7 linked regions of the Sus scrofa genome follow. The protein of the gene in region 2 purifies or fractionates together with the protein of the main gene of each other region. This does not show direct contact. Links are inferred from orthologs where the notes say so. Each region holds a gene or a part of one and is shown on either strand. Other genes may lie near its edges.

The links.
Region 1: the proteins of YWHAE (region 2) and KLC2 purify together in Homo sapiens (affinity purification with mass spectrometry; 3 studies listed by BioGRID and IntAct, with this or other methods). This does not show direct contact. The link is inferred for Sus scrofa from reciprocal best matches to the Homo sapiens genes YWHAE and KLC2.
Region 3: the proteins of YWHAE (region 2) and DDX6 purify together in Homo sapiens (affinity purification with mass spectrometry; 3 studies listed by BioGRID and IntAct, with this or other methods). This does not show direct contact. The link is inferred for Sus scrofa from reciprocal best matches to the Homo sapiens genes YWHAE and DDX6.
Region 4: the proteins of YWHAE (region 2) and XPO1 fractionate together in Homo sapiens (co-fractionation; 3 studies listed by BioGRID, with this or other methods). This does not show direct contact. The link is inferred for Sus scrofa from reciprocal best matches to the Homo sapiens genes YWHAE and XPO1.
Region 5: the proteins of YWHAE (region 2) and CGN purify together in Homo sapiens (affinity purification with mass spectrometry; 3 studies listed by BioGRID and IntAct, counting the BioPlex papers as one, with this or other methods). This does not show direct contact. The link is inferred for Sus scrofa from reciprocal best matches to the Homo sapiens genes YWHAE and CGN.
Region 6: the proteins of YWHAE (region 2) and MAP3K21 purify together in Homo sapiens (affinity purification with mass spectrometry; 3 studies listed by BioGRID and IntAct, with this or other methods). This does not show direct contact. The link is inferred for Sus scrofa from reciprocal best matches to the Homo sapiens genes YWHAE and MAP3K21.
Region 7: the proteins of YWHAE (region 2) and MAP3K3 purify together in Homo sapiens (affinity purification with mass spectrometry; 7 studies listed by BioGRID and IntAct, with this or other methods). This does not show direct contact. The link is inferred for Sus scrofa from reciprocal best matches to the Homo sapiens genes YWHAE and MAP3K3.

The regions. Positions count from the first base shown.
Region 1 is NC_010444.4:6,124,157-6,128,376, forward strand, and holds the start of KLC2 (kinesin light chain 2), read right to left. Parts: upstream 2,801-4,220; 5' UTR 2,659-2,800; intron 2,025-2,658; exon of another isoform or gene 2,002-2,024; 5' UTR 1,955-2,001; coding exon 1,727-1,954; intron 1-1,726. UniProt on the Homo sapiens protein: Kinesin is a microtubule-associated force-producing protein that plays a role in organelle transport. The light chain functions in coupling of cargo to the heavy chain or in the modulation of its ATPase activity.
Region 2 is NC_010454.4:47,610,828-47,614,327, forward strand, and holds part of YWHAE (14-3-3 protein epsilon), read right to left. Parts: intron 2,142-3,500; coding exon 2,035-2,141; intron 1,388-2,034; coding exon 1,181-1,387; intron 1-1,180. UniProt on the Homo sapiens protein: Adapter protein implicated in the regulation of a large spectrum of both general and specialized signaling pathways. Binds to a large number of partners, usually by recognition of a phosphoserine or phosphothreonine motif.
Region 3 is NC_010451.4:46,061,037-46,065,243, forward strand, and holds the start of DDX6 (probable ATP-dependent RNA helicase DDX6), read right to left. Parts: upstream 2,801-4,207; 5' UTR 2,597-2,800; intron 2,352-2,596; coding exon of another isoform or gene 1,554-2,351; intron 1-1,553. Other genes in the region: proline-rich receptor-like protein kinase PERK2, read left to right, coding at 1,554-2,351.
Region 4 is NC_010445.4:80,293,016-80,296,515, forward strand, and holds part of XPO1 (exportin-1), read left to right. Parts: intron 1-2,038; coding exon 2,039-2,233; intron 2,234-3,500. UniProt on the Homo sapiens protein: Mediates the nuclear export of cellular proteins (cargos) bearing a leucine-rich nuclear export signal (NES) and of RNAs.
Region 5 is NC_010446.5:97,727,699-97,731,863, forward strand, and holds the start of CGN (cingulin), read right to left. Parts: upstream 2,801-4,165; 5' UTR 2,778-2,800; intron 2,427-2,777; exon of another isoform or gene 2,303-2,426; intron 1-2,302. UniProt on the Homo sapiens protein: Probably plays a role in the formation and regulation of the tight junction (TJ) paracellular permeability barrier.
Region 6 is NC_010456.5:57,433,469-57,436,968, forward strand, and holds part of MAP3K21 (mitogen-activated protein kinase kinase kinase MLK4), read right to left. Parts: intron 1,142-3,500; coding exon 991-1,141; intron 361-990; coding exon 263-360; intron 1-262. UniProt on the Homo sapiens protein: Negative regulator of TLR4 signaling. Does not activate JNK1/MAPK8 pathway, p38/MAPK14, nor ERK2/MAPK1 pathways.
Region 7 is NC_010454.4:15,288,785-15,292,284, forward strand, and holds part of MAP3K3 (mitogen-activated protein kinase kinase kinase 3), read right to left. Parts: intron 203-3,500; coding exon 81-202; intron 1-80. UniProt on the Homo sapiens protein: Component of a protein kinase signal transduction cascade. Mediates activation of the NF-kappa-B, AP1 and DDIT3 transcriptional regulators.

The sequences.
Region 1 (4,220 bases), on a different chromosome or scaffold from region 2:
GGGACTCTGTGCTTTCTAGTTGATTAGCAAATGCCTAAGTGACAGGTGTTTTCACAACCACTAGCTTTTTTAAAAAAAAAAATTCCCTAAACAGCCTGAAAGTGTGTATGGCAGATGGCATGATCCCTATTTTAAAAACAAGGAAACCAAGATGATACCACCTGGCCAGGATTCGTGGAGCCAGGCAGTGTCTCCGCCAAGATCTGAGCAGGACAAAGCTCTTTCCCCAAGAGCCCTAACTCCCTGTGCACCCCAGTGCCTCCTGGACATCGCCATCCGCCTGTCATCGTGGCAGCCCCGGCCCAAGAGGGCCACAGAACGAACCCCTGATCCATCCAGGCTCTCTCCTCCCCTTAATCTGCTCAAGCCTCAAACCTGGGAGCCATCCTGCTCTCCTCTCTCCCCCTTAGTCCATCCCAGGCCCTGCCTGACTTACACCCAGAGCATCTAGAACTGGTCCCCTTTCTTACTGCCCTCATGGCCATCCCTTTACTCCAAGCCGCCATTTCTCTCTCTCTCTCTCTCTCTCTCTCTTTTTTTTTTTTTTTTTTTTTGCTTTTGTCTTTTAGGGCTGCACCTGCAGCATATGGAGGTTCCCTGGCTAGGGGTCGAATCAGAGCTACAGCTGCCAGCTTACGCCAGAGCCACAGCAAGGCCAGATCCGAGGTGCGTCTGCGACCTACGCCACAGCTCCCACGGCAACGCCGGATCCTTAACCCACTGAGTGAGGCCAGGGAAGGAACCAGCAACCTCATGGTTCCTAGTCGGATTCGTTAACCACTGAGCCGTGATGAGAACTCCCAAGCCACCATTTCTCATTTGCATTCCAGCAGCGGCTTCCTAACCACCTGTTCCCACCCTAACCTCGATGCTTCATTCCGTCTCCACGCTTCAGCCCGAGTGAGTTTTTAAAATCTAAGCCAGACTATGTCCCTTGACTGCTTAAACACTCCAAAGGCTTCGTGTTTTCCTAAGAATAAAACCCAAACTAGTAAAGCACAGATGATGGAGTCCCTGCCTTCTTCACAGGCCTCTTTGGTCCCTCTCTCCTTCCCCAGGAAGATCCAGTCAGATAGGTCTTCTTTCAGTTCTCCCACCAGAACAATCTTTCCTACCTCAGGACCTTTGCACATGCAACTGTTCGCTCATTTCCTGGAGGCTGGTTCACTCCTTCCCTCAGATCTACTTTTTTACTAGCAAATTCACTCAGATCTTGATTTAAATGTCATTTCCTCAGAAGTCTTGCCTGACCAATAAAGAAGACCTCCTGCTTTATCAAAAATCTTGTTCTTTTCTTTGGAGAACCTACCATAATATTGAACAAATAGATGTGTTTCTGACTCTCTCCCTACTGGACTAGGGGACGCATCTTGTCTGTCTTGTTGGACGCGTCCTTGGCACCTAACATGTTGCCTGGCACATAGTAGGCTCTTGAGAACTTATCTGCTAACAAATAAATAAAAGAATGATGGGGGATTTCCTTTTTGTCTTCCTAGGCCATTCAGTCTCTGCTACCTAGCAGAGAAGGGAGATGATCAGGCTTTCCTGGGGCCAGGCATGGTTGGGGTCTCCAAAGCCCACCCATTTCATGACTCGGATCCTACCATGGGGCTCCAGAGGACATATGCTTCTTCCCTGCTGATTCTGTTACTGCATTGCCAGGATTCCTCTGGAAGGCTCCATCCCTCCCATGACCTCCCTCGTGAGCACCCCCAAACCAGCCTACCTGGGCCTCCCCCAGCCCCAGCTCGATGGCCTCCAGGGAGCGGCGAAGGAGGACACAGCGCTCCTGTGAGCCAGGCTCTGCCTCACCAGCTTCATGAGCGACCAGGGGCGCGAGAAGGGCGCGATGCTCCCCGCGCAGGGTCTCTAGCCCTTGGATGACGGCCTTGGTGCCCAGCACGATCTCATCCTGGCTCAGCTTCTCCTCCCGAGGAAGCACCATCGTGGCCATGGTCGCGCCGCCTGTGAAGGCGAGAGGGCGGGCAGGGGGTGCCGGGCCTGGGGCCACGCCGCCGTCCGCCCTGGATTAGGTAAACACCTGGGTCCCCGGACGCCTGGATCCCTGGAGTGCCCTGGTGCCCCAGGCTGCAGCCCGCACCGTGCTCGCGCTCGGCCTACAGGGGGCGCGCCCGGCTCGTCTTGGCCCGGGAGACGCAATGCGGTGCGACCTGCGAGGCTGGACCCGGATTCGGCCCAGACCACTGGCTCAGGCCGGCCTAAGCCACCCAATCTCGGGGCTTCCCCGGAGACTCCCTTAGCCAGAGCAGGGCGCGCCAGAGGAGGGTCCTACGAGGACCGCGGGGGTTCACTCCCACGCAGAGACCCCAGCCCCCTCCCCAACAGGCAGGCCGAGCCACAGAGCCCCGCCTCCGGGGCAGGCCGACCCTGGGGAGACCCTCCCCCTAAGGAGGTGAGACGTCAGGTTCTCCATCCCCCCAGGCCGCGACCACGACAATCCCTCCCCATCATAGGGCAGCACGAAGTCCTGAAGACCCCTCCCCTGAAAAGGCCGAGCTCCCGCCCCCAGCCACCGAGGACCGCGCCCCCTCCCCGCGGGCTGGCATGGCCCTGTCACAGGCCGCGCCCACGACGACCCCTCTCCTAGGCCGACCCAGAGCCACCTCTCCCGGCCCGGCCCGATCGGCCCGCGCGGACCTGCGTCTCCCGTTCGGGCCCGCCTCCCGCTCTGGCTCCGGCTCCCTCCCGGCTTCACCCAGAGCAGCAGCCGTGAGCAGGTCCCGCTGCCTCCATCCCGCCGGCCTTCCCAGCAGTCCCCGCGCCGCCTTAAAGGTGAAGCCGGTACCTTGGCGGCGTCGGAGGGGGCGAAACACTTCCCAGCCGGCTGACTGCCTTAAAGGAGCACGCTGGCTGGGCCCACTCCAGGCGAGGGGGAGGGGTCAAGGGCGTGGCCATCAGAGGTGAGGCGTGGCCATTGAGGGGCGTGGGTTCGCCTGGGGCATAAATTCCCAGCCGCCACTTCCCAATCTCCTGCGGCCTCGGATTCTTCCGCTGTAACCGGCTCCGAAGCTTAGGGGTGTGGACAGACTGGGAAGATGTGCACCTGAATTTACCTTGTACTGAGGCCAGAGTGCGCGGCGGGAGAAACTGAGGCCCAGGGAGAAGGCCCCGCCTCCTCAGTCCCGGGGGAGACATTTGACATTTATCGACATTTAACGAGGTAGTTGCCACCTTCTCAGCACTTACTGTGTCCCGGTGCACGTTTAATGCTAATGCAAACCGAGTAAAGCTGGTGCTGCTGTTACCCCAGTCTCGCAAATCGGACCCCAGCCTTGTTCGTCTCTAGAAAGTGGCTTTGCCCCACCCAACTCCTTCGGAGCCGTCCTCATTCCTATAGGAGATTCACGGCATCTTAGGGCTGCTTCTTGGGAGGAAGAGACGGAGGCTTCTGGCCCTAAGGGAGAAAAGAGTGGCCAGGGGCAGCGGGGCATCCTGCGGGCGAACACCACAGCAAATCCTATTGGTCGGATAATCAAGACAAAGGGATGACAGAGTTCTCTGGTGGCCTAGTGGGTTAAGGATCAGGCATTGTCACTGCTGTGGCTTGGGTCACTGCTGTGGTGAGAGTTCCATCCCTGGCCCAGGAACGTCCACATGCCGCGGGGAGCTGCAAAAAAAAAAAAAAAAAAAAAAGACAAAGTGATGATGCTGTCATTCAGGGTCACCTCCTCAGAGAGCCTGTCCTTGACTCCCCACCCCCTCTGTGGAGCAGCCGTCCAGCCTGTCTAGTGCACCCATTTAATTCTCTCTGTTGCATTTATTCCTTCTAACATTTTCCTTGTCAGTTTCTGTCTCCTCCCTAGATTGCAGGTCAAGGTCTGCCTGTTTTGGTCACTCCCAGAGCAGCTCCTGGCCAGCCACATAGCAGTGCTCATGTTGTTATTTTTTTCATAAGAGACAGAAGGGTGCCACTGTTGGCCCAGGTTTTGCTTGCAGCCCTGCCTTGCTGGCTACCCTGGCCCTGCCTCCCCAGCTTCTAGGTCCTCATTGCTGGGTAACAGCAGGATAACCGCCCCGAGAGACACAGCCTGCCCAGCAAGGCCTGGCATTGGGACCCAGGGATCTGGGGCATTCCTCATGAGTCAGGGTGGGTTCAGACTCAGACGCTAGCAGGTTCCGGCATCCTGGTGGATGTGAGAATCCTCTCGGCATCCGGTCTGGCAGAGAACTTGTCTGGCACCACCCCAGGGCTCAAATAA
Region 2 (3,500 bases):
AAAAATGAAAAAATCATTAGAATAATAAACGTTATACATATTTAATAAGTAAAAAGCTATGTAGATAAAGATACTCCCACTGGGAACTCTGTCTAGTCACTTACGATGGAACACGTAGTATGAGAAAAAAGAATGTACACATGTAAGTATAACTGGGTCACTATGCTGTACAGAAATATATATATAAATAAATGATTAAAAAAATTAATTTAAAAAAAGATATTCCTCAAATTTATGTCGGTATCAACAACTGGGAACAATCTTGGCATTCCCGTCATGGCTGAGTGGTTAATGAATCCGACTGGGAACCATGAGGTCAGGGGTTTGATCCCTGGCCTCATTTAGTGTGTTAAGGATCCGGCGTTGCCGTGAGCAGTGGTGCAGGTCGAGAACATGCCTCCAATCCTTTGCTGTGGCCCTGGCATAGGCCGGCAGCTACAGCTCCAATTAGACCCCTAGCCTGGGAACCTCCATGTGCCACAGGGGCAGCCCTAGAAAAGACAAAAAAAGGGGGGGGGGGCACAATCTGAAGTATAAATGAGGGAATATTCACATACTGATGGAAGTAACAGGATGCAAAATACAAAATGAGATGTACACTAAGAGTGTAATATATTAAAAACATGGTAGAAAGGCTTTGAAAATTAATACATAAAAATGAAGTACTGTGAAAATTTCTACCAATCAAATTTTTCCCCATCAACATAATTATCCTGCTATCCTAGTGAACTGAAATCAGTCAGTCTATATATCATCCAAAACAGTTTCATTAAGAGCCAAAATAATTCTTTCTGTTTGTTTGTTTTTTACTTTTTTAGGGCCGTACCCTCAGCATATGGAGGTTCCCAGGGTAGGGGTCGAATCAGAGCTGTAGCTGCTGGGCCTACACCACAGCCACAGCAATTCGGGATCCAAGCCATGTCTTCGACCTACACCGCAGCTCACAGCAATACCAGATCCTTAATCCACTGAGTGAGCCCAGGGATCAAATCTGCATCATCATGGATGCCACATTCTTTAACCACTGAGCCATGACAGGATCTCCCAAAATAATTCTTATTACATGGCCAAGGGGACAAAAGCAGTCCCAGGGAACAAGACAGAAAAACAAGTAGCTATTCTCCCTTGTAACCTTTTTCACATTCACAGTTGAGAGCTTTTGTTCTCTTTCATGACTTACCTGCAGGCACGGTCAGGGGAATTAAGAATTTCATAGTAGAATACTGAAAAGTTGAGGGCAAGACCTAAACGAATAGGATGTGTTGGTGGAAGTTCTGTCATTGCAATATCACTAGCAGCTTTATAAGCCACTAGGCTGTTCTCTGCAGCCTCTTTCCTGTCGTTTCCTGTGGCAAATTCAGCCAGATACCTGTGGTAGTCCCCTTTCCTAAAACAAAACAAAAACAAACAAAAAAACAACAGAATTAGGAATAATACTTTTAAAATAAATTCCTCAAATTTTTCTGTAGTACATAAAATCAAGTATGCAAAAAAAATGCATAACAATTAACACATATAATTCAGAAATTTCAAAAAGTCTCTTTCAGGAATGACTGCCTCATCTCTTTAGTTTTCCTCAGATTTCACACTGCCAAATGTTAAGAAAAATCCTAGACAAAATTAACCAAAAGGGCTCAAAAAAAATCAAATTTAACCACTTGACAGACCTGAATTAAAACAGAAAAATGGTTCCAAAGACTGACACGGTAGTTTATTAATCATGAAAAAAAACTTTGCATTACTTGTAGCTAGGGGGGGCAGCCCTACACAAGCCAATGAACATAATAAATAGGAAAAGCAAAACCTAGGACATTTTTACAGTAACAGTCTGACCGTCTTAAATGCAGTAATACTGATTCTTCTTAGCAGTAAATTTGCAAATGTGTGTTCAAAAATTAATGTAAGTTTTGAGATTCAGTCCTCCCGTTAACTACCCTTTCAACATTAAATAAAATGCTGAAAACCTAAAAGAAAAAGTGATTCTAAAAAGGCCAACATTTAATCTGACATTTTCCCATCTAGTATAGAACCTACATTTTATAATAGAAAACCTTGGACTCGCCAGTGTTAGCTGCTGGAATGAGGTGTTTGTCCAGTACATCCAGAATGTCACAACAGATTAATTTTAGCTCAGTCTCAACCTAAAAAAAAAAGTCAAAAACTTTAAATACGAAATTATACAAATTATCATTCTTTTTTTTATTTTAGGGCCACACCCTCGGCATATGGAAGTTCCCAGACGAGGGATCAAATCCGAGCTGTGGCTGCTAGCCTACACCACAGCCACAGCAACTCCAGATCTGAGCCACAGCTTGTGGCAATGCCAGATCCTTAACCCACTGAGCGAGGAGGCCAGGGATCGAACACGCACATTCATGGATACTAGTCAGGTTCTTAACCCACTAAGCCACAGCAGGAACTCCTATCCTGGAATTCTTAAATTCCAGTATTTTACTACTGGATTACAACTTCCTTTTCTAGTTCCTTTCTTACTATTATTCCTACTTAAAGGCACATCAGGACATCCGGTCTCTTGACTCTCATCTTCTCCCAATTTATCAGTCCCTCTTTTTGCTTCCTGCTTCCTTTCCTACTTACCCCAAATCCTATAATCTAGCACACAGACTTCTCTTTTCAGCACATTAAACTTTCTCATTTCCTCATCCCTGAGACATCAAACTTGTCTACTGACGATTCCTGTTTGTTCCAACGTATTTGAAGGTAATGGTCACACTAATACCAGCTCACCACCTTCTATGTGGTACCAGGTATGTTACTTAATCACTCAGAACAACCTTGGTTTTTCCCATCTATAAAGTGGAATAGTAACCTATCCTTTACAAGATCATTTAAAGATTAAATTAACTTGCACAATTACATAGAGTGTAATATCTCTCCCTATGCTTTGTGACTGTTTCTGTCATTTCCCTCACTGTACTCTTAAATGAGTGTGATTATATGTCTCTCTGCTCCACTAAAATCAGTTTCTCAGTAGCAGCACTAGTGACACTTTGGGCTACATACATCTTTGTTGGGGGGGGGGTGCTATTCTATGCATAATGGGATGCTTAGCAGTATCCCTGCCTCTACGCAATAAATACCAGTGGCACCCTCGAGCTGTGAAAACCAAAAACGTCTCTAGACATTGCCAAATGTTCTCCGAGGAGCAAAATCAACCTCTGGTTAAGAACCACTACAGTAAATCAAACTTTTGTAACCAAAACCCACAATAAGAAAAACATCACATATATATGAAACAACTTTATGAAATGCCCAATGCCATGGGGTATTTTCTACTCTATTAAAACAATGATGGAGTTCCTGCTGCACGCAACAGATCAGTGGCGTCTCTGTAGCAACAGGACGACACAGGTTCAACCCCAGCCTGGCACAGGAGGTCCAAGGATCTGGCTTTGCCACAGGTGCAGCCTAAGTTGCAAATGTGGCTCAGATCTGATCCTGGGCCTGGGAACTCCATATGCTACAGGGCTGCCAAAAAA
Region 3 (4,207 bases), on a different chromosome or scaffold from region 2:
AAGGGATATAAAATGTATACACTTTTGCTTGAAAAACAGCCAAGAAAATCTTTAGCTACATTAATTAAATCTGAATACTACAAAACTGGTATAATTTTTAGTATAACACTTTTCAAAAGGCATATCCCAACTTGAAATAGCACTGCTTTTAAATTACAAAAACACAAAAAGGAATTTACTTCTATTAAAAAAAAAATCTGTGAGAGGCTAAAAACACTAGTAACTTTGATCAAACTCTCCAGGAAACCCAGAGTACCAATTAATAGTTAAATTTTAAAAAACTATTCCCCAATCAAATTATTTGTAAATAAAAACTTAATTTAAAAGCCAGGCAGAAAAAGCCAGAAAATAAAGGCCTGTTTGGTTTGTCAACTGCTTTAAATGTTTTACCAAAAATACACTAGCTTACTAGTTAATGTTTTCTTGCCATATACCGAGATTTCTCAAACTATAAAATCTTTTAAAATACTCTTTGAGGTTTTTTTTTTAAATAAAAATCAAGCTGCTCAAAAGCAAATCTTGATCATCACATACACAAAGCTGTCTATTTCCACGTCTCCCAAGAAGCTGAAAGTCCTCTTAAGCAGAGGGTGGTTAACAGCCACCTAATTTCAGTTCAAGGTAGTAAGTGGTTTCCAGTATTGACAGGTTTATATTATGATCAGCAATACCAGCTACTTCACACCAGAAGACTGGTTTGCAAAGCACTAAGAGGATGAAGAAGGCAACCTCTAAAGATTAAATGATATCATCACTGTCCATTATACACACAAGACCTTCTATCTTCCTATATCCAAAATGTGACTATGTGATAACTGCTCCCCTCTTAATTAAGCTAAAGCCTGCACTGCAGCTTTATGTCTCAGGAAAGGAAATATTCCTCCTACCCTTTCTCAATTTAGATTTGCAAGTTATATTTCTACATTTTCAAAAATACGAACGACACACAGACTAGTTGGGAGGAGCCCCTAGCGGAGTTAATTACAGCACTTTCCAGATCGTAGTTAGCAACTGACAGTTTCACACGCCAAACTGTACCGTCATCTCCAAAAAGACCTTTTGTTTGCAAATGCAGCGCAGTTTCTCTAAGCTTGGTGTGCAAGTTAGAGTGACTGTTCTATTTTGAAGGGATGAGGGGACTGTCGAAGAGAAAGGGGACTGGGCGATAAGGGAAAGAAACAAGCCAATGATTCGAGCTCCCTAATTGTAGGGAAATCATTTCTTGCTTCTATCTTCTCACCCCCACCCAAAAAAACCCACACACTTCAAGTCAGCTCTCTGGACCCATAAACACAAAAGGGCTGGAGCCCTGCAATCGTATCTGCGCAACAAGAGCAGGGAACCAGCTCCGCGGGTAGGGAACAATAGGGACTCCCCCAAAAAGGCCCCAAAGAGAAACCCTTAAGTCAGAAGGCCTGTTCTTTTCTCCAAGAATCCGGGGCTCCAAGATCACCGCCTTGTTATTGACCTACACGGCCTTACTCAGATCAAACAGCCGGTCCTCTTCCAAACCAAGCTCTCCCGACACCGCATATCCCTGCCGCCCCCTATAGGGCCGCCTTTTACCCAGTAACCTCCACCATCTCCCTAAGTCCTTGCTGCCTCCTACGGTCCCACCTTCCCTCATCTTCTACAAAACTCCTCTGCGAACTTCGCCCGCTCCTTCTCCAGACCCTGTCGCGCACCACATTGCTCCATCCTACTCCTCCCGGGCGCCCCCACCCCACACAGCTGCCGCCCGCCACCCGCCTTCCTCCCCAGGGCCCGGCCAGGCCTCAGGCCTCCACCTCAGACCCCCTTTCAGAGCTGCCGGGGGGCTACCCGCAGCCTCGGCGTCAACGCCGACCTCCACCCCCCCGCCTCACCCCACTTCCCGCGGCTCGAGCCCGAGTCCTACCACCGAGGCCACTCCCGCTCGGCACCCCCGGTCCTTTATTGTTGACTCGAAGCTCCCAAAATGGCGGCCGCTCCTTCCTCCTCGGAAACCTCCGCCCGCCCCCACCCGGCCCCTCGCTTCGGCCTCCTCCCGCCCCGCCCCCGCTCAGCTGCCAGGGCTGCACTGCCGACCAGCCAGCGCCTGCCCGCTCCCGGGGCCGTCCAGCCCTACCTCCGCCGCTGCCCGCGCTCAAGGCGCCGTCGAAGCCGCCGCCCGGACTGAGCTAACTCGGCTCCCCCGCTCCCTGCCCCCCTCCTCCCTGCGTTCTCCGCATGGCGGCCGCTGCGGCTCCTCCTCCGCGCAAGATGGCGAGACTCCGGCCGCCGCCGCAGCTGTGTCGGCCGCGGCGTCTCAGTCTGTCCTGCTTCGCGACAGGACAAATCCTGGCCAGGGAACCTACCCGAGGAGAAAATGAAGGCCTGTGCTTTCCTACGGATCCGGGACTCACGGGGCCCCGGTGGAGGGGAAGTCGGAAGGGAAATACGGCTCCCTTTCTGAAGGGAAAGGAGGGCTGCTCTTTCTACAGCTGAGGAGAAATGATAGGGGAATGGTCGCTGGGAAGGGTCCCCCTAGAGTGGAAATCGGGAGCGTGGGACCTGAGGAGGATCTGCTTTTTCCTGACCAAAGACCGGGTAGCGGCTCGGGGACGGGAGAGCTGACCTGACATCTCCCGCGGGCGAAGGAGGCTGCTGCAGGACCGAGGGGTCGCGTCCGAGCCCCTCCGGCCTCCATCCAGGAACACGCGGAACCAGTAGTCTGGAGGCGCCAGCGCGCGCCGGGGTTTGGGCACCGGAAGGGGGGCCAGCCGGGACCGGTGCAGCGGGGAGAACCCCGGGGAGCGCGCGGGGCTGGGGACAGGGGGCGCTGTGTCAGGGCAAGCGGGGGGTGGGGGAGACTGTAGAGGCGGATCTGGCGCGGGGGTGTTGGGATGCTGAGTAGCCAAGGTGCGACCACGGCCGGAACCCGGAGAGCGAGCCTCAGGAAAGAGAATGGGACACTGGGGCAGCGATCCTCCTCGCTCTGCTCCAAAGAGCAATTCTCAGAGAGGGAACCAGGGAGGCCTAGCCTCTCCCAAAGGAAAGAAACACTGAGTCAGTTATTATAGGAATAAGAGCTCTGCACATAAATGGGGAACCAGAAGACCGAAGGCGACTCCCTTTCCAGATTGACCCTCATCAGAAAGATAATTATGTATTTATACCCATAAATATTTTTCACATCTGAATGTCTCCGTTTATCCTTAACAAAAATAACAGGAATGGACTCTTGTTCCAGGTAAAACAAGAACTGGAAGCTAGAACGTTTAAGTTAGGTCCAGGGAAAATATAAACCTGGGTCTCACCCAGCTGAGAGACAATATACAGGGCAATGACCAAACCATGTGTTGACGACCCTCAACTTCTGCTTCCAGTAGCACGAGAGGCGAAACCACAGCCTCTGCAGTGACGGAAGGGGCAAAAAACTTCGTCGTTGACTGCCAGCTTCCCGAATTTTTGCCCCTGCTCCCAACTCGGGACCAATCAGAGAAAGCCAAATATATTCCCTCAAACCAATCACTTAAGATGCCCAGTTTCTAGTTAGCCCGCCTCCAGCTACCCCGTGTTAACAACCTCCAATCAGAGCATACCCTGAAGCTTTACCGCCGCCCCCTGCCCTTTTTTTTTAATTTAATTTTTTTTTTTTTTTTTTTTTTTTTTTTTAAACTGCCGGCCTCTAAGTCTACCAAACTAAGAGAAGGCGGCTGGCTCCCTTGTTACAGCAAGCTTTGAATGAATAGCCTGTTCTCATTGGTGGTCTTCGTTTATTTTATTTCCACACAGCCTAAGGAAAGGTGGTAGAGAAGTGTGAAAAAGCTGTTCTTGAGATTTTTTAATTCCCTTTAATTTGTTCATCTAAATTTGTAGTATGTGGTCTCCCACCCAGCTTTTAAAACATCCACTCATTTAAGGGAATAACTGGCATCTTGTGCCCATCCCGGAGAAAGAATGGCTAAGTGGTTCTTTAAGAAAATGTTGAAGTATGAGGCCTCACTGTCTTTCCAAGTAGCAGGAATGTGAAGGGGAGGAGAGCAAAAAGGGAGTGGGAGGGAGGAGAGCCTAGGGATTTAAAACAGGCCACAGCCCGCTCAGGTCTCTTTCCCTAGACCGCTCAGACCAGCCAAAGGAAAGGGATGTGTTCATAAATAAACTGTTACCTTCAAAGGGGGCCTGACTGAGGTCTTGACAAAAACCAAAAGTGAGGTGCCATTTCTTCTGCAGCCAAGAGCAGAAT
Region 4 (3,500 bases), on a different chromosome or scaffold from region 2:
GTATGCCATTTATTTCATAATTTTGGGATTTCAATATTGTTCCTATTTATAGGGAAAATTTTTAGGAAATTCTTAAGGTATCAACCTTAAATACCAAAAGGTTTTAAAGGTGCATTATGAGATTAGAACTTAACTTAAAATTGGAAAGTAGGGGTTACTGTCATGGCTCAGTGGTTAAGGAATCCAGCTAGGAACCAGGTTTGATCCCTGGCTTCACGCAGTGGGTTAAGGATCTGGCGTTGCCGTGAGATGTGATGTGGTCACAGAGGCGGCTCAGATCTGGCATTGCGGTGGCCCTGACGTAGGCTGGTAGCTGTAGCTCCGATTAGACCCCTAGCCTGGGAATGTCCATGTGCCGAAAGTGCAGCCCTAAAATGACAAAAGACAAAAAAAAATTGGAAAATAAAAAATAGGATGAACTGAAGGGATTGAGAAGTTCATAATTTATAAAAATTTGGGCAGTAATTTCAGAAGTATTAGTGTTAATAACAAGAAAGGTATTATTTTACAACTAAGATTTGAGTTTTGAGACTGAATTAAAAGAGCCAGTTTACAGGAAAATAATTTCAGATACTTGAGGGTAGAGGAGGAAAGAAATAGGTGAGGTAGATTATGAAGTACAAACTTCTGGAGTTCACGTCGTGGTGCAGTAGAAACAGTTCGACTAGGAAGCATGAGATTGTGGGTTCGATCCCTGGCCTCGCTCACTGCGTTAAGGATTTGGTGTTGCTGTGACCTGTGGTGTAGGTCGCAGACTTGGCTCAGATCCCACGTTGCTGTGGCTCTGGCATAGGCTGGCAGCTACAGCTCTCATTGGACCCTTAGCCTGGGAACCTCTTAGGGTGCAGCTCTAAAAAGACAAAAAAAAAAAAAAACCCACAAAACTTTAAAAAAAAGTTCAAACCTCTAATTACAAAATAAATGAGTCACAGATATGAGATGTTTCAAATCACTATGCTGTGTAACAGGAGTTAACATTAGCAACAAACATACAACAAATTCAGAAAAAGAGATCAGATTTGTGGTTACCAGAGGAGAGGGATGGGATAGGGAGAATTGAATGAAGGTAGTCAAAAGATGAAACTTTCAGTTTTAATATAAATAAGAACTAAGGATGTGATATACAAAAACGATAAGTAAAACTAACATTGCTGAGGAGTTCTCTTGTGGCCCAGTGTTAGCAAACCTGATTAGTACCCATGACGATGGGGGTTCAGTCCCTGGCCCCGCTCAGTGGGTTAAGCATCTGGCATTGCCATGAGTTGTGGTGTATGTAGGTGGCAGACTCGGTTCAGCCCCTCCTTTGCTGTGGCTGTGGTGTAGGCTGGCAGCTGTAGCTCCAGTTCGACCTCTGGTCTGGAAACTACCATATGCTGCAGTGCAGCACTTTAAAAAAAAAAATAGAACTAACATTGCTGTGTATTATATAAGAAAATTGTAAGTAAAGTTATACAGTGCTGTACATTAAGCATGTCTCAGACTTGAAGATCAAGAAAAATAAGTAAGAACTAGTTTTAAAAAAAACCAAATGGGTAAAAGGACAATAATTTTTTGCTTGTTAAAAATCTTACTAGACCTGTTTTGCATAGTGGGACACTACTAACCAGTAATCTTTAAAGGAAACATTGGTTGTATTTATTGTTAAACATCTTAATGGAGAACCTATTAAAAACATGAAAGTTACGCCTTAATAAGACTTTATTGAGAGTAAGTGGTGGGTCTCTACTTTGAAGTTAACCATCCCTCATACACAGTACCTTAGAATCCTGGTCCTGCTGCATTAGAGCTAGTCACTTGATTTGAGGCCTCAGTTTCCTTTAATAATTAACAGATTTAAACTACATTGTCTATGGCCCCCTCAGACTATCATGATCTCTTGGTAGAAAATTTTAATACATTAAACTTAAAGTATAGGAGTTAGCAGTTTTCAGCAGATACTCAACCTAAATTAGAGATATTGACTTAGCTACTTAATGAGTTAACAAGTGCCTAAATTAATGTTGAAAATTTTTTGTTTTGTTTTTCCTTTTTTTAACAGGTAGCTGAAAATTTTGTTCCTCCTCTGTTGGATGCCGTTCTCATTGATTATCAGAGAAATGTCCCAGCTGCTAGAGAACCAGAAGTGCTCAGTACTATGGCTATTATTGTCAACAAGTTAGGAGGACATATAACAGCTGAAATACCTCAAATATTTGATGCTGTTTTTGAATGCACATTGAATATGATAAATAAGGTATGTGATCTGCATTTTTTAATGTACAAGAAATTATAATAGCAAGGTACATTTGAGATTGTTCAAATAGCAACTTGCATTTATTGAAAAATTGGCTTTAGTTGTATTTGTTGAAATAAACAGGCGGGTTTACATTTTTAGTTTTTATAAGTATAGTATATCCTTATAAAGAATGGGGAAATGTATTAACCAAGAGGAAGAAAAGGTACATGTAAGTCTATACCTTTATGCAGTAGGTAACAATTTTCTAATCTGTACAGTGGTCTCAAGGTCATTAAAATTGGTAGTGGGAGTTCCCGTCGTGGCGCAGTAGTTAACAAATCTGACTAGGAACCATGAGGTTGCGGGTTCGGTCCCTGCCCTTGCTCAGTGGGTTAACGATCTGGCGTTGCTGTGAGCTGTGGTGTAGGTCGCAGACTTGGCTCGGATCCTGCGTAGCTGTGGCTCTGGTGTAGGCTGGCGGCTACAGCTCTGATTCGACCCCTAGCCTGGGAACCTCCATATGCCGCGGGAGCGGCCCTAGAAATGGCAAAAAGACACACACACACACACACACACACACACAAACACACACACACAAATTGGTAGTGATGGAATTGCTATTGTGGCTGAGTTGGGTTAAGAACCCAACTAGTATCCATGAGGATGTGGGTTCTATCCCTGGCCTTGCTCAGTGGGTTAAGGATCTGGTGTTGCCGTAAGCTGTGGTATAGATCTCAGATGCCCAAATTCAACCCTAGCCTGGGAATTTCCATATGCCACAGGTTCGCCCTAAAAAGAAAAAAAAAAGTTGGTAGTGATTGTGTTAAAGTTACTAGAAAATGTGCGTGGTTCTTAGGTGGCTTTTTTTTTGGTCTTTTAAGGGCCACACTCTTGGCATATGCAAGTTCCCACCCTATGGCTCAACTACTGGCCTGTGTGCTCACCAAGGCTGGATCTGAGCCACATTTGCGACCTACACCACAGTTCACAGCAAGGCCAGATCCTTACCCACTGGGCAAGGCCAGGGATAGAACCTGCATCCTCATGGATACTGTTCAGGTTTGTTACCGCTGAGTCACAATGGGAACTCCTCTTACGTGGCTTTTGATGAGTTCTCTTTATAATTAAATGACCTTGTATTCCTTTGTTTTGGGAAGTGATTGGTATAATAAATAGTAATTTTGTCTTACTTGAGAGGTGAATTCTGTTGTCTTTGGGTTTGCTTTTTCAGCAGGCCATACATCTTATGGGATCCACTAAAAACTCCAAACATTTATACTGAATT
Region 5 (4,165 bases), on a different chromosome or scaffold from region 2:
GCTGTTCCTGCCTGCAACAAGGGGGAGGGCACTGCACCTGTATCAGACAGCCACTTCTCCCTGAGTTACTCATTAGCCTGCCCTGCCCCTATTCCATCACCTCTGGCCCCGGCAAAGGCTTCTCTGGCTTCCAACTAAGAGTGACAGGGTCTCTGGACTCCTGGCAGGAAGTGGGGGTGGGGTGGTTTCGGGTGTGCCGAGGAAGCGTGGGTATACATAGGGCCAAGCAATATACTAGATGCTATATAACTGGCAGATGAAGAAAATGGGTGAACTAAAGGTACAGAGATTAGACTCCTCTCAGAGGTAACAAGGAAAGCAATTGGTCAAAATAGAAAAGGACAGCTCAGTGACCTTGATCTTTCAGTTGCTATTTTCTCATAAAGAGTTAGTGAGATAAGGCTGCCGAGGATCCAAAATGAATCCCCCCCAAGTATACTCCTAGCTCAGTCCACTGAAAAAGCCAAACCTGAGCACCAGGCTAGAGCGGCTTGGCCAGTGTGTGTGTGGGGGGAATGCAACGAGGAACTGGGCCCCTGCAAACTGGCTGGACAGGTTTGAGAAGCAAGGGGAAGGGGAGGGAGAAAGCAAAGGGAGACGCCACTGGCAGCTTGTTAAGCAGACCAGAGAAATTCCACACCACAGAGGAGGCAGAGGGGCAAAGCCCTGGGCAGGGACTCTGTCCAGCCTAGATGCCAAGACTCTGAAGGAAGAGGCAGGAGCTGGGGAGGGAACAGGCAGGAGGAGCAAATACACAATGAACCTGGTAAGTGACAAGTCAGTGTGCAACAGGAAGACTTTGTCTCCCGCTACCCCTCCCTCTCAAGTTCCCAAGGTTGCATTCCAGATCTCACACTTAGCCAGGCCACCTCCCTGAACCTTAGTTCTCCCCCCACCCGCCAGTACTAAAAGAAGCAGCAACCCTACCCCTCCCACTTCCCATGGGGGTGATGGCAGGCGATCAGTCTGGGGAAAGCAGGAAGGGTTCTAGGAAGCCAGAATCCTCTTAGGGTCAGGCAAATCTCTGGATGAACAGTCCCCTAGAGCCAGCCCCCCATTTCCAAAAAATCCAGGATGAAAAAAGAGGTGCAGAGGCATGTGTAGGCAGCCTGTCAACAACATAGCGGTTACTAATTATTTCTCAATTACAACAACTCTCCTCAGGCAGGGCATCAAAGGGGCTAAGCTAAGGCTGGCTCAGGTTCCCTCACCTGCCTAAGGCAAGGAAATCTGCTTCAGAAGTTTTGCCTGGGCCCCGACTGAGCACCTCTCATCCAGCCTGGAGACCTGGACGGGCTAAATCCCCTACTCGGGTGGTCTCCTGAAGAGTTCCGCCAGTTTCCTGAACCAATGCCTACTGCCTGATAGCCATCACCGTCCAGCTGTCAGGGATGCCCGATGGGGTTTCAGAAAGTAATAGGGATTTTCGGAGAAGCATCAAGGAACCTGGTTAAGCTCCCAAACGTCACCCAATGGCTCCATCTAAAACCATGGAAGTATGTGCTTGGGGGGGAGAGGGGGGTTGACGTTAGCTCCCAGGAAGAGGCCTCTTTAGAAAGATGTATTTCTACATATTTTGAAGACCTCGGGATCTATGCTTACTCAGATCCCTCTCCTGTAGAGCACTCTCTCAAGAGGAAGTAGGAAAAATTCTCCCTGGCAAGAAAGCAAAGGAAGACAAAAACTGAAAGCCTTCGTTTCACACCTAGCAGACATGGGGGTGCCCTCTTGCTCTACTTCTCAGTGCCTGTTAATTGCACCTGTCTTGCCCTGTAGGTGAGCAATGGTTAGAGAAAGATTGCACACCTCAGAGCCATCTCAAAGTCAGAAGGGAGGTATCAGCGCCAGCTCGGACTGGCCGTCGGAGGAAAGAACCTCAGGGAAACAGCACCTTTCCACGCCCTCTCACTTATGTCTCCGAACCTCAGGCAGCAGTCCCCTTTGCCCAACTGAGGAAACACTCCTTCCCCCCACCATTCCCGCCTCTGAGAAATCCTGCCCCGGGAACTGGCGTCTGACCACCAGAGCTATCTTGGCCCTGAAACACTTTCATGCCCTGGGAATAGCCTCAGCCTCAGGTGCCCCTCACCTGGCACCTTCCCAAGCACCTGCCTCTGGCACCTGAGGACAGGAGCCAGCTCTTAATCAGTGCTCCCACCCTACCTCGACCTCCCCTCCTCCTCTCGCCAACACAGCACCTGTGCCCTGGGTATCTCAGATCGCCTCGACTCCCACCCCTCAGGGGTACACCTGAGGGCTCGCCTGCCTTTCAGGTGCCCTTGCCCCCGCCCGGTTCACTCACCCCAGCCGGGCTCGGCGCTCCCGGGCTCGGGCTCGGGCTCGGGTAGAGCTGCACGCGCGGCTCCCGGGCCCTCCCCCTCTGTCCCTCCGCGCTCCCTCCTTCTCTCTCCCCCTCCCACCAACCTGTTACTCCCCTCCGGAGCTCCACCTCCATTGGCCGTCACCACCTGCCCCGCCCTCCCCTTCCTCCAGTTGGTCCGTTTCCCACGAGGGGCGGGCCGGCCGCGTCAGGGACCCGGACCTGGGGTCGCCAGCCCGGGTGGGCGGGAGGGGCTGTCTGGGTCACGTGGGCCGGGGGCGGGGCGGCGAGGGGCATCGGGAGGCCATTTTGGGGGCGTAGTGGTCAGCCGCTGGCGACCGCCCCCGCCCCCGCCAGGCCGGGGTCGGGAGCCGCCAAAGCATTTTCTCGCCTCTGCTGCAAAACAATCCCCCGCCTCCCGGCTTCGCAAGGGGACTGTCTTCTGACCTTCACCTACCTCCGCATAAGCTGGAATCCTCTTCCGTCGCATTCTGCGGAAAATATCTCCCAGTCCCCCGACGTCAGAGCCTCCACATCAGCTCCGTCTCCCTTTTCCCCAACCCGAGCCAGACCCCTGTCTTGGATTCTCCCCCGTCTCCTGGCCTCCCCAAATCATGCAGCCTGGTGCCTTTTTCTCTGTAGTGTTTATCACCTTCCAAGTTATGTAATTAAATCTAAATATCATATTTGTCTTTTGTCTCGCCCTACGCCAAGCTTCACCAGGGCAAAGATCTCTTGCTTTGTTCTCTGCTTTATCCCAAACGCCTGCAACAGGGACCGACATTTGTTAGATGCTTAATAAATATTTGTTGAATGAGTGAATGAATGAATGGGAACCGGGAGGGGTGAGTTTCCACAGAATAGGAATGACTGTCATTCTAAACAGAAGGGGATCTCAACCCCAGGTTGTAAATCCATTTTAATCTTTCAGGAAGTGGGGAAATTGACTCCAGTCCCTTGACGAGTAAAGGCAGGGGTGCTCAACCAACTGCAGGCACTCTGCTTATCTTCTAGCTGTAGTTAAACAGCGAAATCTGGCCTCCTAGGTTTTAATCGTTGAGGTATGTAAGAGATTGACTTAGTTTATGTTGCTAGGTTCTGATATTCTCACGTATTTATTCAACAACTATTTATTGTGTACCTATTGAGGATTGAAGAGGAATCTTACCTGCCACTGACAGTCTAGGGCTTTCCTGAGAGCACATTTCCTTCCCTTCCCCCCAAACTTCAAAGCCTACGTGTAGGACCTGGAGGGTAAAGTCCACCTCCCAGTTCCTAGGCAGGGAAGCAAAGTCTCTGCATTCCAAGGGAAGCTTTATGTAGGGATTAGAGTCATCAAACCGGCCCATGGCCCGGGGAGGAACAGCAAAAAAAAAAAAAAAAAAAACTGTAAGGGTGGGGATAGGGAAAGGAAACATCCCTCCAGGACCATGTTATCTCTAGATCACTGGGGGTTTTTTTGCTTTTTTTTTTTAATGTGAGATTGTTTAATTGACCCAAGTATTGGAAACGTGGAAACTCTCCTAAGGTAACACCTTAATAATTAGGATACTTGTATTTGTAGTAAATACAAAGTTAGGGTGGTAAAGGAGACACCCCACCCAGCACTACGAACACAGGTTGCAAGGAAAACTAGGAGGCCTCTGAGTCACAGTCATCGTCATCTGTTCCTCAAGGAAGCACTCAGTCTGACAGAGAAACTATCATTAGGCACGGGTGTCAAAGGGGACACTAAGACCTTTCCCAGAGGTTGTGGTCCCATTCCTTAGAAATGTTACAGGAGGTCCCTTCGTGGCTCAGCGGTTAGCAAACCCAACTAGGATCCATGAAGATGCAGGTTCGATC
Region 6 (3,500 bases), on a different chromosome or scaffold from region 2:
ACCCCCAGCATATGGAGTTTCCCAGGTTAAGGGTCGAATTGGAGCTATAGCTCCTGGCCTACACCACGGCCACAGCACACTCGGGATCCGAGTTGCATCTGTTACCTACACCACAGCTCACGGCAATGCTGGATCCTTAACCCACTGAGCAAGGCCAGGGATCGAACCTGCATCCCCATGGATCCTAGTCGGGTTTGTTAACCGCTGAGCCACAAAGGGAACTCCTAATTCAAACAAATTCTACTTCCCGACGCACATTTACCTGGCTGGTCCACAAATAAAGAAGCCAACGGCACAGTTTTCTGATTTTTTATTAAGACAGTTGACCAAGGGCTGTTGCCATCTGAGAGAGGTCTTATTCTAGAAGAGAAAAATGTTTTATTTTGAGATAATAGAACCACGTGACACACAAATTAGGTTTTGGAGGATACAGGCCAACAATATTTTTCGTTAAAGAAAAACATTTGTACTCTGTTTTAAAAGAACTCAGCAGAATACAAATAAACCCTTAACATGAGACAGACTTTTTTTTAACTGCTTAACTAATAATAGTTAACTGAGGATGATGAACTCATTCGGAAGTTAGATACATATTCGGGTATCTCTGCATTATTCTAAATGCTTTTAAAAAGTTAAGCCCAGCCATTGAAATATTTAAAAGACAGTGCCCTTAGAGTTCCCATTGTGGCGCAGCAGAAACAAATCTGACTAGTAACCATGAGGTTGCAGGTTTGATCCCCGGCCTTGATCAGTAGGTTAAGGATCCAGCGTTGCCATGAGCTGTGGTGTAGGTCACAGAAGCAGCTCAGATCCTATGTTGCTGTGGCTGTGGCGCAGGCTGACACTGTACCTCCAATTTGATCCCTAGCCTGGGAACCTCCATATGCTATGAGTGTGACCCTAAAAAAAAAAAAAAAAAAAAAAAAAAGAAAAAGACACTGCCCTTTGTCTCAGTACACACTATAATGCCACCAGAAGCCACACACTCACCTTTCTTTGCAATCAGCTCTCTCTTTCATTTGAATCGAATTTGGTCCCCAGGTACAACCCTTTTTCTTGAAATTCCTTTTTACATCTTCAAATTCTTCTTGTCGACAGACCGTGTTCCTTCCCCAAGTTTTATTGCTTTCATCTGAGGTCACTAGACAGACAGCATTGCTCATTAACCAGTTAAAAAGTTTTTAAGTTAAAATGAATCAGATCAGCTGTAAAACTATCTTCTGAAAACATGTAAACTATTAAGAAACATGAAAACAAAGAAGAAATGACTTTCTTCACCCTATCGCTGGCAAACTTCTTTCTCTAATCGTAACAGCAACAGAAGTAGAGTAAACGAGAAGACACACATTCAAGGTAAATTAGCAGTAAAAAGTTGATTATTTATTCATCTATGTATTTAACGTTATGCCTGGGGCACTCTGCTGTACATCAGAAATTGCCACAACATCGTAAATCAACTATACTTTAACCAAAAAAATATTTATTTAAAAAAGGAAGAAAACAAAATGCTGGGGGAAAAAAAGTCAATATTATGTGACAGTTAGGATTTTGTTTTATTTGAGGAAAAAAAAGTGACATTGAACACTTAACTTAAAACACACTTAGCACCTAATTTTTTAACCAAATCAAAGTTTTGAACCTAAGGAATGAAGGTACTTTTTTTTTTTTTTTAAATGTATAGTTGATTTACAGAGTACTGCATTTTTAAATTTTTTTTATTGAAGTATAGTTTCAAAGTTACATTTTAAAATTGGAATTTAAGCCAATTTTTCATCAGTCATCATAACCGACTACAATTACCTGTTAAAATCTGAACATAAGTAAGTTCCCCCCCGTCTTGTGGTGCCTCACAGGGAGTTTCTATCCATGTCTAAGAGCCACATGCTGCTGACACACATATGTGCCAGCCTTCTGGCCTCTCCGTGAACTAGCAGCTGCCTTGAGAATCACTGGGGAGAGTGGCTGTTATTACTCGGAAAACAACCCTGACATACACCAGAGGTTCTGAAACAACATTATGACATATCTGTAGTGGATAAAAATATCCACATAAAATAAAGTAGAGAGAAATAATATATAAAGTTTACATAATGCATTTATATTAAAAAAATGTTTATGAGGAATTCCCGTTGTGGCTTGGTGGAAACAAATCTGACTAGCATCCATGAGGCTGCAGGTTTGATCCCTGGCCTTGCCCAGTGGATTATGGATCCGGCATTGCCATGAGCTATGGCGTAGGTCTCAGATGTGGTTTGAATCTCGCACTGCTGTGGCCGTGGTGTAGGCCAGCAGCCGCAGCTCTGATTTGACCCTCTAATCTGGGAACCTCCATATGCTGTAGGTGCAGCCCTAAGAAGACAAAAAAAAAAAAAAAAAAAAAAAAAAATTAAGTCTTTAGGCATACACGTGCACATCCACACATCTATACAGAGGAGAAGGTAATAAACCCAGACTTCAGGATGTAAACTGGTACAACCATTATGGAAAACATTATGGAGGGATCTCAGAAAACTAAATACAGAGCTACCATATGATCCAACAACACCAGATCCTTAACCCACTACTCTACAAGAGACCCTACGCTGGTATTCTTTCCACTGTGTCCGGGATAATCTTTTTTTGTTTGATTTCTCTGAAATGATTCCCATGCTGCTCAATGCGTGTAATTACCCCTTCCCTTAATTCCAGATTTTTTTTTTTTTTTTTTTTGCTTCTTACAATGCTCTCAGCATCAGTTTTTCTCACTCAAGTTTACTCAATGTTTCCCCGTGGCTGCTCCAGGGCAACATACCAGACCTCATCTACGACGCCTGGTGAGAGGCGGTCCATCCCCTGAATCAGATGCATGTGTATGCGTACCTGACCTACTGTGAGGCCAGATCCTCACAATAACTACACACTTATGTGGAAGAGACAGAACCAGGCAGAAACCCCCAAGGCCACAAAGAACTTCAGAATAAGAATAATGATGACCATCACAGCAATGGCCAACTCAAGCAGGGCGCTGACCATGGTAAGACACTGTTCTGAGCACTTTATGTCCATTGGACCTTTTATTTTGTGGCCGTTTCTTAAAGAACTAAATAAACATACAATCCAACAACCCCACTCCTTGGTGTGTGTGCCAAGAAGGTGGAAACTGATGTCCACATGAAACCCCACACATGAATCTTTAAAGCATCTACATTCACAACTGCCACATTATAACCTGGAAGCAGCCCAGATGTCCTTCAGGAGGAGAACAGCTAGATGGCAACACCTTCATACAATGGAAGCTGACTCAACATTCAAAGGAAATGAGGTGTTTTTTTTTTTTTTTTTTTGTCTTTTGTTTTTTTTTTTTTTTGTCTTTTTAGGACCGCACTCGTGGCATATGGAAGTTCCTGGGCTAGGGGTCGAATCAGAGCTGCAGCTGCCGGCTTACACTACACATCTGTGCCACATCTGCGACCTACACCGCAGCTTATGACAATGCCGGATCCTTAACCCAGGGCCAGGGA
Region 7 (3,500 bases), about 32 Mb from region 2:
TCATTGGCTTCTCAAATATTTCCCACTTGAACACCTCTCCCCACCAAGTCCAATTAAGCCTGCTATGGCCACACACACACCTGCCTATTTGGGTGACCAGTGTCTTTGTTCTTAATGGTCTCATATCCAGGCACCCGGGGACGTCGGCTCATCTGGAGGGCCACCAGATCCTTCATGATCGAGTTCAGTGCCTCCTGTTCGTCTGCAAAGAAAGAAAGCACATGCACTAAGATACTTTAACACAGACCACAAAAGTACTTTCACAAATAAACATGACATACTCAGGGAGTTCTGCCCAGGTGAAATGACAGATCCTGTAACTATAATCACATGAATTTGCTATCCGTGAAAAGTAGATAACTGAGGTCAGACTATGGCAATGTGAATTTTAATGGATTCTAATAGCTTTCCAATCAGATTTCTGGCAGCAATATCTATGAATTCACTGGGGGCAAGGGAGGTGCTCAAACAGAGCAATTCCTCGTGCCAGAGAAACTCAACCAGAAAAAATAGATGAGAAGTTGGAATGAAGTGAAGAACAACAGAGCACAGTGTAGTAGGGTACGGAGTGAAAAGATGAATTCATGGAGTTGATTATGGGACAAAGACATTCTTTTTTTATTTTTTATTTATTTACTTATTTATTTATTGTCTTTTCGTATTTTCTAGAGCCTCGCTCGCAGCACATGGAGGTTCCCAGGCTAGGGGTCAAATCGGAGCTGTAGCTGCTGGCCTACGCCAGAGCCACAGCAACGTGGGATCGGAGCCGAGTCTGCCACCTCCACCGCAGCTCAGGGCAACGCCAGATCTTTAACCCACTGAGCAAGGCCAGGGATAGATCCCGCAACCTCATGGTTCCTAGTCGGATTCGTTAACCACTGCACCACGATGGGAACTCCGACTTATTCTTAAAGCATCGTTTGTAGAAAAGCATCGTTTGTAGAAAAGCATGTTTTAAAAGGTACTAAACGAGGACCTCAGGTTGCTGTTTTGAACATAAGTTGCCTAGCCTTTGAAGGCCTCCCCTCCCAACTCTTTACAAGTTTATAGGCTTTCTGCTTCCCAGAGGGAAGTTAAAAGGCATTTCTATTGTTTTTCTTCCCTAACTGACCAAGCAACGCATTGTCTCTGCCTTACTGGTATTACTTGTAATCCCCCTTTCTTGAAATAGCATAGAGCACTAGAGTTCTCATGCACTGAAGACAACTGGCTAAAACCTAGAACCTAAAACAGCCCAATTCCATGTTTTGCAAAATTCTCCCAGGTCTTTCAAGAGGTCCTTGTCCACTCAAATGGCACTGTGGTGTAGAAAATAAAATTGATTTGTTGATCTGCAAAGATACCTGAGGAATGAGTTTTTACACTTGCTTTAGTAACAAGTCAGTCACTTAGGGACTCAGGGCGCACCTTAAAATAAGCAGTGTAAGACTCCACCAAAAAAGAGTTCCCGTGTGGCACAATAAGTTAAGGATCTGGTGTTGTCACTGCAGCAGCTCGGGTCACTGCTGTGGCACAGATTTGATCCCTGGCCTGGGAACTTCCACATGCTGCAGTGGCAGCCAAAATTTTTAAAAAGTTTTAAATTGAAAAAAATAAAAAGGCTCCACCCAAAAAGGGTGCCGATCTTCAGCCCTGTATCACTGTCTGTTGAAAATATTCTCATACCCCATGGAAAGAGCAGCATGGAGCATAGGAAGTAAAACGGTGTTATTTGCTTCTCCCCTTTCCTAGACCAACTCTACTCAGATGCCCTATATGCCATTTGAGAAGGTGCAGAAAAGGAAGGAGAAGGGTGCCCATGAAGAGGTTTTTGCCTGATCAGAAAATGAGATTTAAGACTTGCTGGAAAAACATCAGTAGAGTAACTTCCCAACTAATTCCACTTCAAAATATATTCAAAAGTATGAAAGTGATAGAGCTGTAAAACCAAAAGAATGAGATAAATGGAATAACAGAGGAGGAAGTGGGTATCTATACAAAGACACTTGTCAAAATTAAAACACATACATCCCATCGATTATTTTATATTTTTAGCAATTTACCTATAAGCTCCTTAAAGAGAGGGAACCTGCTTGGTTTTTGTTTTTTAACCTCCTAACCAAAATGTAAAAACAGAGCATAACATCTAAGCTAGGATGATTGGCTAATATATATATATATATATATACACACACACACACATGCTTATATATTGCTCATATGTCATTAAATATTATACATGTATAAAATTATTGAGCCAAATGTAACAGTTAATTTCAAGTACAATTATGATTAGATGGGTGTTTTCTGAGGACCATCCAGTGATGGTCCTGCAGCAGAATGCATGGAGTTTTCGGTATCAAGGTAACCACCCTCTGAAATGAGAATTTCAATTGTCTCATCTCAGACATCGAAACAAGATGGATGTGAATACATGCAGACACACACATATGCTTTTCAAGTCAAATACATGACACGTGTGACTAGAGAAACTGTTTCTAATTCTGTGTAAAATGATGCTATTATAAGAGCTGGTCTATCAAGTTGACAAAATCTGTTTCCAGGAAGCTAACCAATTCCTGGTATTACTTAATGGCTAAACTTGTTTGGTAGTTCCAACGCTGAGAACACACTGGAGGAATGGTCTGGCACAACCTCTTAAAATTCAGGACAACTGACACAAGTGAAACAAGAGTTATAGAATCTGATTTTGTGTCAAAGTTGAATACATTTCTAGAGGCAGACTGTTTCTTTTTTTGGGGGAGGGGGATGCACCTGTGGTATGCAGAAGTTCCTGGACTGCTGTGCTGTCACCCCACAGCAGTGACAACAGTGGGTCCTTAACCCACTGAGCCCTCAGGGAACTCCAGGTTCTTAGTAATCTGATTATTTTAAACTGAGGAAAAGGATTAAGACAGTAACTAAATCAAGTGGCTCTTTTAGGCATTTCTTCCTGGATTGAGATTTTTTGATTTTTTTTTTTTTAATCTTTTTAGGGCCGCACCCACAGCATATGGACATTCCCAGGCTAGGGGTCAAATAGGAGCTATAGCTGCCGGCCTATAGCATAGCCACAGCAATGCCAGATCTGAGCCGAGTCTTTGACCTACACCACAGCTCAGGGCAATGCCAGAACCTTAACCCGCTAAGCAGGGCCAGGGACTGCACCCAAGTCTTCATGGATACTAGTCGGGTTCGTTACCACTGAAACCAGGGGAACTCCTTGGATTGAGATTTTAACTGAATTATCTGTACTACTATATTTTACTTAAAAAATAAAAACAAACCTTTTAAATACAAATAGTAGCTTTCTTAAGAGTGCAGCAGTCAGTTATAGGGACTCTGGAGTTAGAAAGACCTGGGTTTAAGGAAGCCTTAAACAAATCACTTATTCTCCCTAAACCTCAATTTCTTCACCTGTAAAATGGAGAGAGCAAAAGTATCATTACATAGAGCTGCTATGAAACGTAAGAGGAAAAAAAAAACACGAATTATTCTTCATGGTACCTAACACTTAGTAA